Linked DNA regions of Sus scrofa. The protein of the gene in region 2 interacts with the protein of the main gene of each other region in a pairwise test. Links are inferred from orthologs where the notes say so. Each region holds a gene or a part of one and is shown on either strand. Other genes may lie near its edges.

What was found.
Region 1: the proteins of PNMA1 (region 2) and MCM7 interact in binary tests that used the Homo sapiens proteins (3 or more experiments, as listed by UniProt). The two-hybrid records come from large-scale screens. The link is inferred for Sus scrofa from reciprocal best matches to the Homo sapiens genes PNMA1 and MCM7.
Region 3: the proteins of PNMA1 (region 2) and TNNI1 interact in binary tests that used the Homo sapiens proteins (3 or more experiments, as listed by UniProt). The two-hybrid records come from large-scale screens. The link is inferred for Sus scrofa from reciprocal best matches to the Homo sapiens genes PNMA1 and TNNI1.

Annotation. Positions count from the first base shown.
Region 1 is NC_010445.4:8,011,160-8,014,902, forward strand, and holds the start of MCM7 (DNA replication licensing factor MCM7), read right to left. Parts: upstream 2,837-3,743; 5' UTR 2,738-2,836; coding exon of another isoform or gene 2,680-2,737; 5' UTR 2,263-2,679; coding exon 2,232-2,262; intron 1,721-2,231; exon of another isoform or gene 1,349-1,720; intron 1,067-1,348; coding exon 987-1,066; intron 687-986; coding exon 522-686; intron 235-521; coding exon 110-234; intron 36-109; coding exon 1-35. Other genes in the region: AP4M1 (AP-4 complex subunit mu-1), read left to right, coding at 2,680-2,737, 2,837-2,925, 3,331-3,437, 3,517-3,743. UniProt on the Homo sapiens protein: Acts as a component of the MCM2-7 complex (MCM complex) which is the replicative helicase essential for 'once per cell cycle' DNA replication initiation and elongation in eukaryotic cells.
Region 2 is NC_010449.5:97,049,256-97,052,998, forward strand, and holds the start of PNMA1 (paraneoplastic antigen Ma1), read right to left. Parts: upstream 2,603-3,743; 5' UTR 1,763-2,602; coding exon 701-1,762; 3' UTR 1-700.
Region 3 is NC_010452.4:23,797,940-23,801,682, forward strand, and holds the start of TNNI1 (troponin I, slow skeletal muscle), read right to left. Parts: upstream 2,616-3,743; 5' UTR 2,515-2,615; intron 2,400-2,514; 5' UTR 2,274-2,399; intron 2,170-2,273; exon of another isoform or gene 2,160-2,169; 5' UTR 2,108-2,159; intron 1-2,107. UniProt on the Homo sapiens protein: Troponin I is the inhibitory subunit of troponin, the thin filament regulatory complex which confers calcium-sensitivity to striated muscle actomyosin ATPase activity.

The DNA.
Region 1 (3,743 bases), on a different chromosome or scaffold from region 2:
GTTTGCTACTGCTCGGGCCTTGAAAATACAGCTCGCTAAAGGGGGAAGAAAGTGATGAGCAAGGTGCTGGGGATCAAACCCCCACATACTTCCCCCTGAGCCCACTCACAATCTGCGCATCAGTTCAGGAGGGTACTGGTTTTGGGGACTCCGGGCTGCCCCTGGGTCCCGGCTGCGCTGCTCCATCATCAGCCGGTGCTCAATGTAAACATCCAGGACATCTTTATTTACCACCTGAAAGGATAGGAAAATAAGAAAACTAAGTGGTAAGATAGGGAAAGGAGACAGCATAAAAGGCTCCAGGCAGCAATCACCACCCTTTTTGCCAGCTCAGAAAATACCTGAGTTCTCTTGTGGCACAATGGGTTAAGGATTCAGCGTTGCTGCTGCTGTGGCTCAGGTTGGATGCCTGGCATGGGAACTTCCACATGCTGTGTCAGGGCCTAACAACAGCAATAGAAGAAAATACCCGAGTAGCTTCTCAACAGAAACCTAAGTTTCTTGCCCTGCATTTTCCTCACCTCCCTCTCCTTGTACTGAGGCAGCAGCTCTTGCACAGCATCAGCGAAGAGCCTGGCATAGCGCTTGGTGTTCTCACAAATGGAGTCCACCAACTCAGGATCATCCTCAGTGACGTCGTCTAGGTCTATGTACATTGCCACTTGCTCCCGATGAGCCAATCGAACCTGGGGGTGGGGGGAGACGGCAACAGAGCCAAGTTCACAGGCAAGAACCCATCACTGTGGCTCAACACACAAGTTACCAAGCCTCCAAAGGACAGAAAGAGCACTGTGAGACAGAAAAAATACTCACCTCTCAGTTAACTCCTAAAAATACCTTAATTATTGTGAATATAGTACTGTTAACAGGTATGATGCTAAACTTGTCACTTAAAGAGAAAAACAGCCTTGCTAAAACAAGTCAGGCCACTTCTTAGTAGCTCCTTAAGCCACCATCCCATTTCTTCTACCTAACCTTAGACTTACCAACTGGTTCCCATACTTGAACTGCTTCTTGCCAAGTTCGTCATCTTGGTAAAACTCCTGTAGAAACTTCTTCACTTTTTCTACAAGGAAAGTGTAAAATCGTGACGATCAATCTTTCTTCAGATACCTTACTCCAAACTCCTCTGATTCACTTTCACTTAAAATGAGATCTCTGAACTAATTAGATAAATGAAGATTTATTTAAACAAACCTACAAACTCCTTTTCCAAGTCCGTTTTTATCTGGGGGAGCAGAGGGACCCCTGGCAGTTGCGAATATTACCCAACACCCACCCCCCAAGGGAATTCCACTCTCAGCCTTAGTTAGAAATCTCGGAACCCTTTTCCAAGGGCCTCCCACACCTGGCAACACACCCAGATCTCAAGACTCTCAGCTTTTCTTCCGCGCGAACGCTTCCCCTTTTCTTTCTGTCTCCTAAATCGCCGCTCTCACCGGGACCTCCGCCACCAGGCCCGTCCTCCGCCCCACCCCCTCTCCCGCCACTGCTTCCGCTCTTAGTAAACAAAGAAGCACATGGGCCCAGATGATGCCGCCGCCTCACAGCCCGGGATTCCTCCGCTCAGGGCGGGAGACCGTCCAGCGATTGGCCAGCTCCTCGAGGGCCACTCCGTCCCACCCCACCACTTCTTCCCTCGGTCTTCCTCTAAACTCCCCCATCCCAGGCACGCCCCCATCCTCAGTAGTTCTCTCCGCGGCCACCGCGCGGAAGGACACTGTTTACACACGACACCCTCCAGCGGTGTCGCGCAACTTCCGCTCGCCTTCACTTCCGCTTGGAGGTTAGCCTGACGCGACCAATCCCGGCGCGCAGCGGCTCAGGCCTGCCCGCCCCCGGGGCTTCGGCGCGTCGCGGGAGGACGCGGCTACTCTTGAGTGCCTAAGACCGTGGAAGGAAGCGGGCCCGCGGGTGCCAGACCCTGAACCTTACGGCCCCTGGAAGCCTTGGTCTAAGGCGCGACCGTTCCTTCTGGAGCCTCCAGCCGGGGTGTCCGCCCCCCACCCCACGATACCCACTCCTTTCCCGGACCCGGTTACCAGCTCTTCCCCGACCCTGGCGCCTCGTACGCCTCCCAGTTACCGTAGGCCTCAGCCCCGACGCTTCCCGACCCTACCGTTGACCTTGCGCTCCGGGCCAGGCCCCTCAGGAACCCAACCCACCACCAACAGGTGTTGGTCAGGAACCTTTCCGCGCAGGACGCCCCTCCCACGCTTGCAGACCCTCACCTTTCTCGAGAGCGTAGTCCTTAAGTGCCATTGCTGCCCAGGGCTGCGCGGCAGCAGTTGGCGGGCTCAGACCTCTCACTGCCTGGGCAGCAAAAACCGTCTGCGCCGTGGTCCGCAGCCGACCAACCGAAATTGGCGCGAAACGTCGCCCCCCATGTGACCAGCGCCGCTGTGTGCGGGCCAATCAGAGAGGAGGTCCTCCGCCCCGCCCACTCGCCACAGGCCCCAGCGTCAACCAATCACCGGGAGAACCTGGGGTGACTGACGGGGAAATGGCGCGGGTACTGAGAGGGAAAGGCTGAGCGAGGCGGGGCAGGCGCCAGGTTTCCCGCGGTCGGAGGAGAAGCCCTCTTAAAGGGCCAGCCCATTCCCGTCCTTTTGTTCCGGGGCCGCAGGGCGGGGCAGGCCCAACTTTTCGCTGCCTCCTGGTCTACCCTCCAGAACGGCCATGATTTCCCAGTTCTTCATTCTGTCCTCCAAGGGGGACCCGCTCATCTACAAGGACTGTATCCTTGGCTTGCGGGGCGGGGTTGGGGCTGGGTGGGACTGGTGCCTCCGAGCTAGCCAGTGTCGCTGGCTCCTTAGCTGTTCTTCTATCCCGTCAGTCCGCGGAGACAGCGGCGGCCGGGATGTGGCAGAGCTCTTCTACCGGAAGCTGACGGGACTGCCCGGAGACGAGTCTCCTGTTGTCATGGTAACCACTGGCGGGGGTGGGGGGTGGTGGTGGAAGGGATGCGCTCAGCGCTCCGAGGCGGCGGGGGCTGGGGTGGGGAGGGCAGTGCGGGGATCTTCCCAGGGCTCTTTCCCTGAGAGCTTCTACTTGGGAAGTGCAGTAGTCCAAATGTTAATGGCAGTTTATTGAGCAGCAACCGTGTTCCAGGCACAGTTCCTTACACATCTCTGTCCTCAGCTACTCAGTTAGTTGGTACTGTTATTAATACCATTTACACAATAGGAAGCTGGGCTCTAGGGAGGTTTCATATGTGGCCCCAAATCACGTTGCTAGTAAGTAGGGGAATCCGGATACTAGCCTGTCTCACAGGCCAGGAATCATTACAACTCTCGTTTCCTAATGCTTTTCCCCCTGCCTCTACCTCAGCACCACGATGACCGTCATTTTATTCACATCAGACACAACGGCCTCTATTTGGTGGCCACGACTTCAGAGAACATTTCTCCCTTCAGCCTCCTAGAGCTGCTCTCCCGGTGAGGAGGACAGGGCTGGGCACATGGGCGTGGGGGTGGGAGAGGAGGCCGATATGCACACTCCATTGTGTTTCTGCAGGCTAGCCACTCTCCTGGGAGATTACTGTGGCTCCCTGGGCGAGGGGACCATCTCCCGCAACGTGGCTCTGGTCTACGAACTCCTGGATGAAGTGCTGGTGAGGTCTGAGAACGTCCTTCCCTGTCCCCTATTCTCTGAAGATACATCCCGTGGTTGGGAGACCAAGTCCACTCATTTTCACCCCTTCGCCCCACTGACCACCCAAAAAATGTCCTTCCTCTGCCCGC
Region 2 (3,743 bases):
TTTGAAATGGGGGAATAGATGCTGTAACTGGTTCCTATTAACCTCCCCATGCATTTTATATCTGCATCTTACACAGTGAAAACTTGATTTACACAGCCCTGTAAGCGCAGTATCGTTCTAACACCCCATTTTGTAGTCTCAGAACACTTTTCAATTAAACTGATCTAGATCTTTAAAGATGTACAGTAAGAAATCTGCACTGTAAAGCTGAATAATACCTTATTCACATTTCTTTCCATTAATATAAACCAGGAACAATTTACGGTAGACACAAAAACTATTCACCACAGTTAAGAGTAAACAGTTGACATTTTTTACTGAACAGTTCTTTTGGTATCCAGGCCCTGCACTCATTATACATCTGAACATGCAATTTCATATTTAATTACCTTGATGGGAAGAGTCACGAGACCACATTTTTCACAACCGATGATGGTGCCATGATGATAGCTTGCAATGAGGACTCACGTCCAAGCCTTTCCCTGGCATTGTAGCTAGCATGACCCACGAGCGCTGCAGCAGATCTGGTGCTCCCCTGCACGATTGTGCTAATGACACATGAATACCCAGGCCGGACTCCCGCCCAAAAACAAAAAACACCGCTTAGTCTTTACTAGCAGGAGACACACCTGTAAGACATCACAGAGACAATGAAAGCAGCCGTGATCTAGGTCTGAACTAACGCCCCCTTTCCTGGGACTCAGAAGTGCCCCTCCAGGCCTAACTGCAGGAGGGCGGCCTCAGCCTCCTCCTCCTCTTCCTTGGCCTCCTCCTCGCGGATCTGCACCAGCAACTGGAAGAGGTTGGGGGCCGGCCCTTCAGCAGCCCCGGTCAGCCACAACTGCCTTCGGATGGCTCCGCTGTGATTGGCCCCGGCAATGACCTGCTCCAGGCGGGCCTGGTTCACGTTATCTTTATCTATGGCCCCCTTCTCAACCACCTTCTGCAGCAGAGGCTCCAGACGAATCACATAAGCAGATAATTTTTCTCCCGGGTTCTGGTATGTGTTCAGAAATCTCACCTGCGCATCCCTAGAGCTCTCGACGCTCCCAAACACCTGCTCCAGCGCCTTCAGGCATTCAGCGGTGGTAATCGCAGGGTTGTTGGTCTTGAGGATGCGGATGACATCAGCGGCAGGGCCTCTAAGGCTCTCCATCAACCGCCGCCTCTTTTCTACATCAGGCACCTGCCACTCCTCTATGACCTCATTAGTGTGCTCCAGCCAGGGATCAAATGCCTCCTCCCCTGGCCCCGGAATGTCCCTTCCCGAGAACAACGTCAGCTTCTTGTACCATATGGACTCAACCAGAGGCTGAATAACATTATCCAAAATATAGTTTAGCATCTCTGCCGGCATTTCGGGGCCTGGGGCCGGAGTGGGGTTCTGAAACCCAAGGACACGGGCAACATCTTGCACGGTCCACCCCTCTCTTGCTAGGAAGAGGTGCAACCTTTCTAAAAATTCAGCATCGGAAGTGGGGGGCTTAAAGACTACTTTCCAGACCCCTCCTTTACCTGGCATCTCCCTGGGGATCGCAGCATAATCGACAGCACCAGTGAGCTCTAACAAGGCTGCTTTGGCATTCTCTTCCCTCCAGAACATTCTCCCAAGCACTCGATAGGGCACCTGGGGCATCGCAGCTTGAAAGGTCTCTTCGATTTCGGTCTCATCACAGTTCACAGGGATCCCCCAGACCAGAAGGGCTCTCTGGGAGTTCACATCCATCCCCCTACACCAATCTTCCAGCAGTGTCATCGCCATTTTCCCAACTATCAAGGGCCCCAATTCTACAAATACAATTAGACTGTGGCTCCCTGTGCTCTAAAACTGAAGACAATAGCAGACGCTCCCACCGCCACCTCCCCCCATATGCCCGAGGGAGTCAATCACGTTTAACAAACGACACCAGTGTCCTGCTCTCCTCTTTTCGCTGCCCCTCAAAGCCAGGCCTCCGCGTTCTCGGAACGAAGCCTCGGGGATGCTCAGTCACATGGCCATCGCCATCTTGTGTCTCCGGTCGGGATCCGCAGGCCGGGTCCTCCACTTACAGGAAGGTGTCGCGTCGGAGCGCAGAGGCGAGGAAAAAAGGCGGGCGGCGAAAGCAGGAGCCGCAGGGCTTGATCGCGGGACGTGGCCGCCTCTTCGCAGCCTGGGCGCCAGGCACTCGCTGCTGCTCCCAGAGGGTGCAAGCTTTCGTTGCCAGAGCGGAGCACGCCTCAGACGAGCTAGGAGCCGCTTCTCCGCAGACAAGAACTAGTACCGCCCCCGGAGGGAAAGACTGTCCTAAGGGAAAGACAGCGGCGGCAGCGAGGCCAACCCGAGAGAGCTTCTTCGTGGGCAAACGTATCCCTCTGGGCGGCGAGGACGCCAAGGACCAAGAACACAGGCAGCAGAGGCGCAGGAAAGACGCGGAAGCCAGGCTAGAGGAGGCGCAGGCGCAGTCGCAGGCAGGCCGCGGCAGCCCCGCACGCAGGCGACCGCGGGCCGAGGTGGGCTGGAGCTGCACAGTTGTACCTCGGTCCCACCCGCAGCCAGCCTAGCCTTTACTGCCGCAGTGGAGGGCGGGGCCGGCCTTCGACCCGCCTCGCCCCGCCCCCCGCGGCCCTGCCCGCGCGACCGTAGCCACGGCAACCACCGACGCGAGACGCCGGAGCTCTAGCGGCCTGCAGGGGCGAATGGTTGCCATGGTGGCAGCTCGGGGCCGCGGGCGTTAATTTCCTTTACCGCGCATTTCCTTTTTCGCATTTTCCAGATTTTTTTTTTTCTTAACAAAGCACTGTGTTTAAAAGATAATATAATTCTGGAGTGGATTTAAGATGATATCCGGCCGTCAAGAAAGACTTGTCTACTCGCGTCGCTCGTTCAGAGGCAATGCTGTATAATACCCTGTACCACCTGACTGCACTCTGCACCCTCTAAATTTTATCCCAGTGAGTTGAGACTTCTTCTTGTCTAAAATGTTGTAAAAAGATCTAGATCTCTATGAATAGTAACCCGGCAAACACTAATGTGTTATTTCCCCTGCCCTGGCATCATGGATAAAACAGGCCTTATGGTTCAAAAATGTCAAGTATCCTTTGGAAGCAAACCAAGGCACACTTACAATCCCAGATGGTGAGATAATAAATCTTTCCCCCAAAGGACACAGAAATCAACTCTGAATTTTTAAAACCTTATTTAATAAAAGGTTTAAAGATACAGAAGAACATTCAAAAGTAAATAAGTTACATAGGTACATTACAATCACATCAGCAAGATTTTCTTTAGTGTGTTAATTTTTTTTTTTATAAAAAGCACACAAAAAATAAAATCTTCCGTCTGGTCTATCACAACTGTACAGCAAAAGAGGTAATATTTATATATATGTACACTATTTTAATATGTAACAGTCTTTTAAAAAAGGGTGCCACAGGCAGCAAACACACAAAAGGCAGTGTCTGATTTTTTCAAAATAAAAGGAATATACTTATTTATATGCTATTAAAATATTTGTACAATAATTACAGACTATCAAGGCTGTTCCTGTGCTCTGTCCCCTCCAACAAGGCCTTTGACTAAGAGACAAATGAGGAAAAGGTGAAACAGCTGCAAATTGTTAGTTAGAGGCAAATATTAATACAGCAAAATATGGGGAGGACATACAATTGTTTTATAAAAATATGCATACTTCCTGTAAACCTAAGGAGTTAGGCTTGCCACTGGTAATAAATACCATCTGAGAAAACTGAGCCCCGGTAAAAAC
Region 3 (3,743 bases), on a different chromosome or scaffold from region 2:
AGCCCGGCCCTGGTGGCAGGGACTTAGCCCCCGGGCCCGTGTCTGCCGTGAGGACCTCTGCCTCCAGTTGGAAGCCCCCTGACTGGTGATCCTGGGGCTCCTTTTAGCCAGACACGCTGGCACCCAGACCAAGAGAGGGTCCTGGGGCTGTGAGGGTGAGGCCTGACCCCCATCTGGCCCCAGTTGGACCAAGGGGGCGGGGCTTGTGCCAAAGATATGGGGGAGCGGGCGTGGGGCATGCAGGAGAGGGGGGCAGGTGTGCAAGGCAGGCTGGGAGCCCTGAGCTGGGTCATGAAGTGGGAGGGGATGGGGTGGGGGCTGAGCGCAGGGCCCAGGAGCTTGGATTGGGTCCAGAGCCTGGCCTGGAGTGGGGGAGGGCAGACTCCACAGGACTCACCAGGGAGGCCACAGTCCCCTCCCGCCAGAGCCACCTGCCCCTGCCTCATCTCTCCCCTTCCCCGCTGTGCCCTGGAAGCCTGGGTGGGCCTTGGCCGCCCCTCCCGAACCTCCCATCAGAAACCACCCCCTCCTGGGCCAGGGAAGGGTGAGGCCTGGGAGGGGGGAGGGAAAGGGAGCGTGACCCGGAGCCTCAGCTGTCACCCTGGGGCACAGTGGGGAGGTGGAAGCCACGTACATTCCCGAGATGCTTGGCTGGAATTAGATTTTATCGCCAGCTGTTTATTCGAGGGCTGCTCCCCTCTGGAGACGTGGGGGAGGCCCAAAGAGGAAGGGTAGTTGGGAAGACCCACCCCAGGCCCCTGTCCCATCATCAACCCTGCCATGCCCGGCCCCTGGGGGCCCAGAGCTCGCCCTCGGTAAGGGCTGCATCCACGCCTCCTTGGAGAGCCCCCTGCCCATGCAGCTAGCCTGGGTCCCAGCCATGCTCAGATCCCTCCCCCTCAGACGAGGCCCCTCAACACATCCCCTGGAAGACAAGGGGGAACCAGATAAGAACTCAACTGCAGAGAAGGCAGCTCAGCGGGCCGCCCGCCCCCTGCCCCCAGCAGCCAGAAGGTGATAACCTAATGGGAACCACAGTGGAGGGGGGGGTCACTGGATTGCGCCCCCCCCGAAGCCCCGAGTGAGTGTGTGTGAGAGTGTGAGTGTGTATGCCCATGGGTGTGAGTGTGTGCTCGGGTGAGTGTGGGGGGTGTGTGTATGTGATCATGTGTGAGCAGGGAGAGGACCTGTTGTCTTTGCACACCTGACTCTCAGGCAAGCGAATTTCCTCCCCCTGTTCCCATTCCCGACCTTGGGCCCCACTTCAAGGGCATCCGAGTCCTCCCTGTCTGACAGGCTTGTGCTCCCAAGGCTGAGGCTGAGGGGTCCACCCCTAACCCTGAGCACAGAATAAGCAGGCCCCCCAAGTGCTGGGGACAGTCTCACAGCCAGTAGCAGGGCTGCCTCCAGCTCCCCCCCCCATGCCCCCACCTCACTTGTGGGTTCCGGGCTTGCCTCCAACCCTGATGCTGTGCCCTCCTACCTTCCCCCCAGAGCCCCCACCTTCCCCCGGGACCAGGAGTGCAGGGGGGCGCAGGGGGGCGGACACAGGGCTGGCGCTCTGCCCGCACCAGCTCCGTCGTCTACAAGGGCGCCAAGTGAGTCCCTCGGAAACAAAGAACAAAGAGGCAGGACGATGTCCGCGGGGGGTGGTAGGGTGCAGCCTTCCAGCCCCCCAGGCCTGCCCCTACCTCTTTCCTTCTCCTCCACCCCAGGGGTCACTCCCCGCCCTGCTCACCAGGCTCCCCTCAACGTGCAGCTGTAACCCCTCTGCCCCCTCTGGTCCCCAGGGCACTCCTCTCCCTCCTGGGACCAGCTGGGTGGCCAGGGTAGAAACAGTCCCCTGGCTCCACCCTGGGGTTCCTGGGGCAGCAGGTGGAAAAGCCCCCTCTGGGCTCCAGCTTTTAAATGGGTTTGGGGCGGGGGGTTCCCCTCCAGCCACCTTTACAGGGGATGCTGTCCTGCAGCACAAAATGATGCAGGGCTGTCTTAGGACTGCTCGCCCCAAACCCAATCGCACAGGCAAGAGCCCTCGTCTTCCACGTCCAAGCCCTGCTCCATCCTGAACCTAGAGCCCAGCTCATCTGCCCAGGCTGCGGACACTCACCGTGCTCAGTCTCTGTGGGTCAGGCTGGCCTCGGCTCGCTGTGGACTGCAGACTGTGGGGGGCAGAGTGGTGGGGAGGCTTTGAAAACTCCAGCCCTCGGCAACTGGCTGGTAAAAATAGAACAGACCCGCCGCCCCTCCCCCGCCCCTGCCCACCACACACACACCTCATGGAGGGGACAGGGCAGCACACAGAGCGGCCAACAGGCTTGAAGACACACATGCATGTACCAGGCTCAGAAGGACGCACAGAGCCTGGGCACACAGTGGCCACCCTCCAGGAGACTGGAGCCCTGGGAATGGGGGGGACAGATAAGCAGATCAGACGGGGCTCTGAGCAGGGGTGGGGCTGGGGCACCCGGAGGCCCAGGGACAGCAGGGCTGGTGGAGGGGGGCCATCTCCCTCACCCTCCTTCTCTCACAAGGAAGCATCTGGACCCGACCCCTCAGTCTACGCTCCAAGTAGGCAGTCTTGCTGTGCAGGCATCTTCTGAGGCTCTGGACCTCTTGAGCCCAGACGATGCCTGGACCTGAGTGGTGACATAAAGAGTGTCACGCGGGGTCCAGGGAGGGTACTGGGGCTGAGCTGCCCTTCAAGCCCGTGGCATCTGAGGGTCCACAGATGCTCAGCGCCCTCTCCCGGTGGGTTTCGGGGGTTCCAGCGACACCCAGCCCTGTGCCAGGAACCTGGCAAGACTAACTTCCCCTCCCCCGCCCCGTCCCATCCTCTGTGTCCAGCCACAGGCCAGCGGCGCCCAGGGGCTGGTGCACCTGTCTTCTGGCTATTTTTAGGACAGTGGGTGAACACCTAATACCCACCCTGTGCTCAGAGGAAGACAATGCCTGCTATGTTAATCCAGTGGCTATTATTGTTGGTCATCTCATGGGCCAGGAGCCCAGGCTGGGGCAGGACAATCAGGACGCTGACCCCTCTCGGAAGCCAGGAGAGGCCCTGCCAGGGGCAAATGGTTGGGGAGCGCTAGCTGTGCTCCGGTCCAGTGGGAGCAGAGCTGGTCGTGGGGTGTCCTCAGGAGGTACCCAAGTGCCATGGAGGGGAAGGCCCTGCCCTCTAGACCAACAGAGGTTGCTCTAATTTGGCTCCGGTCAGGTACCTTTGGGGAACCTCCAGGTGGGGAGGAAGAACAGGGTCTGGGGGTGTGCAGGTTGGGGCACAGGATTCTGGGTGAAGAGGCTGGGATGGAAAACAGAGGCGGACGCCCGCCAAGGAGCAGCTGGGGATCAGAGGAGGACTCTGGGGGCGGGGGTGAGTCTGCTGGAGTTTATTGCCTGGGTCTATCATGTTTACAATTTACAATAGACTAGATCTGTCTTACAAAATCTTTTTTTTTTTTTGTCTTTTTGTCCTTTTTTCAGACCGTACCTGCGGCATATGGAGGATCCCAGGCTAGGGATCTAATCGGAGCCATAGCCACTGGCCTACACCACAGCCACAGCAACTTGGGATCCGAGCCACGTCTGCAACCTACAACACAGCTCACGGCAACGCTGGATCCTTAACCCACTGAGGGAGGCCAGGGCTCGAACCCACAACCTCATGGTTCCTAGTTGGATTTGTTTCCGCTGTACCATGAGAGGAACTCCTGTCTTACAAAATCTTAATATGCACAAAACCAAAA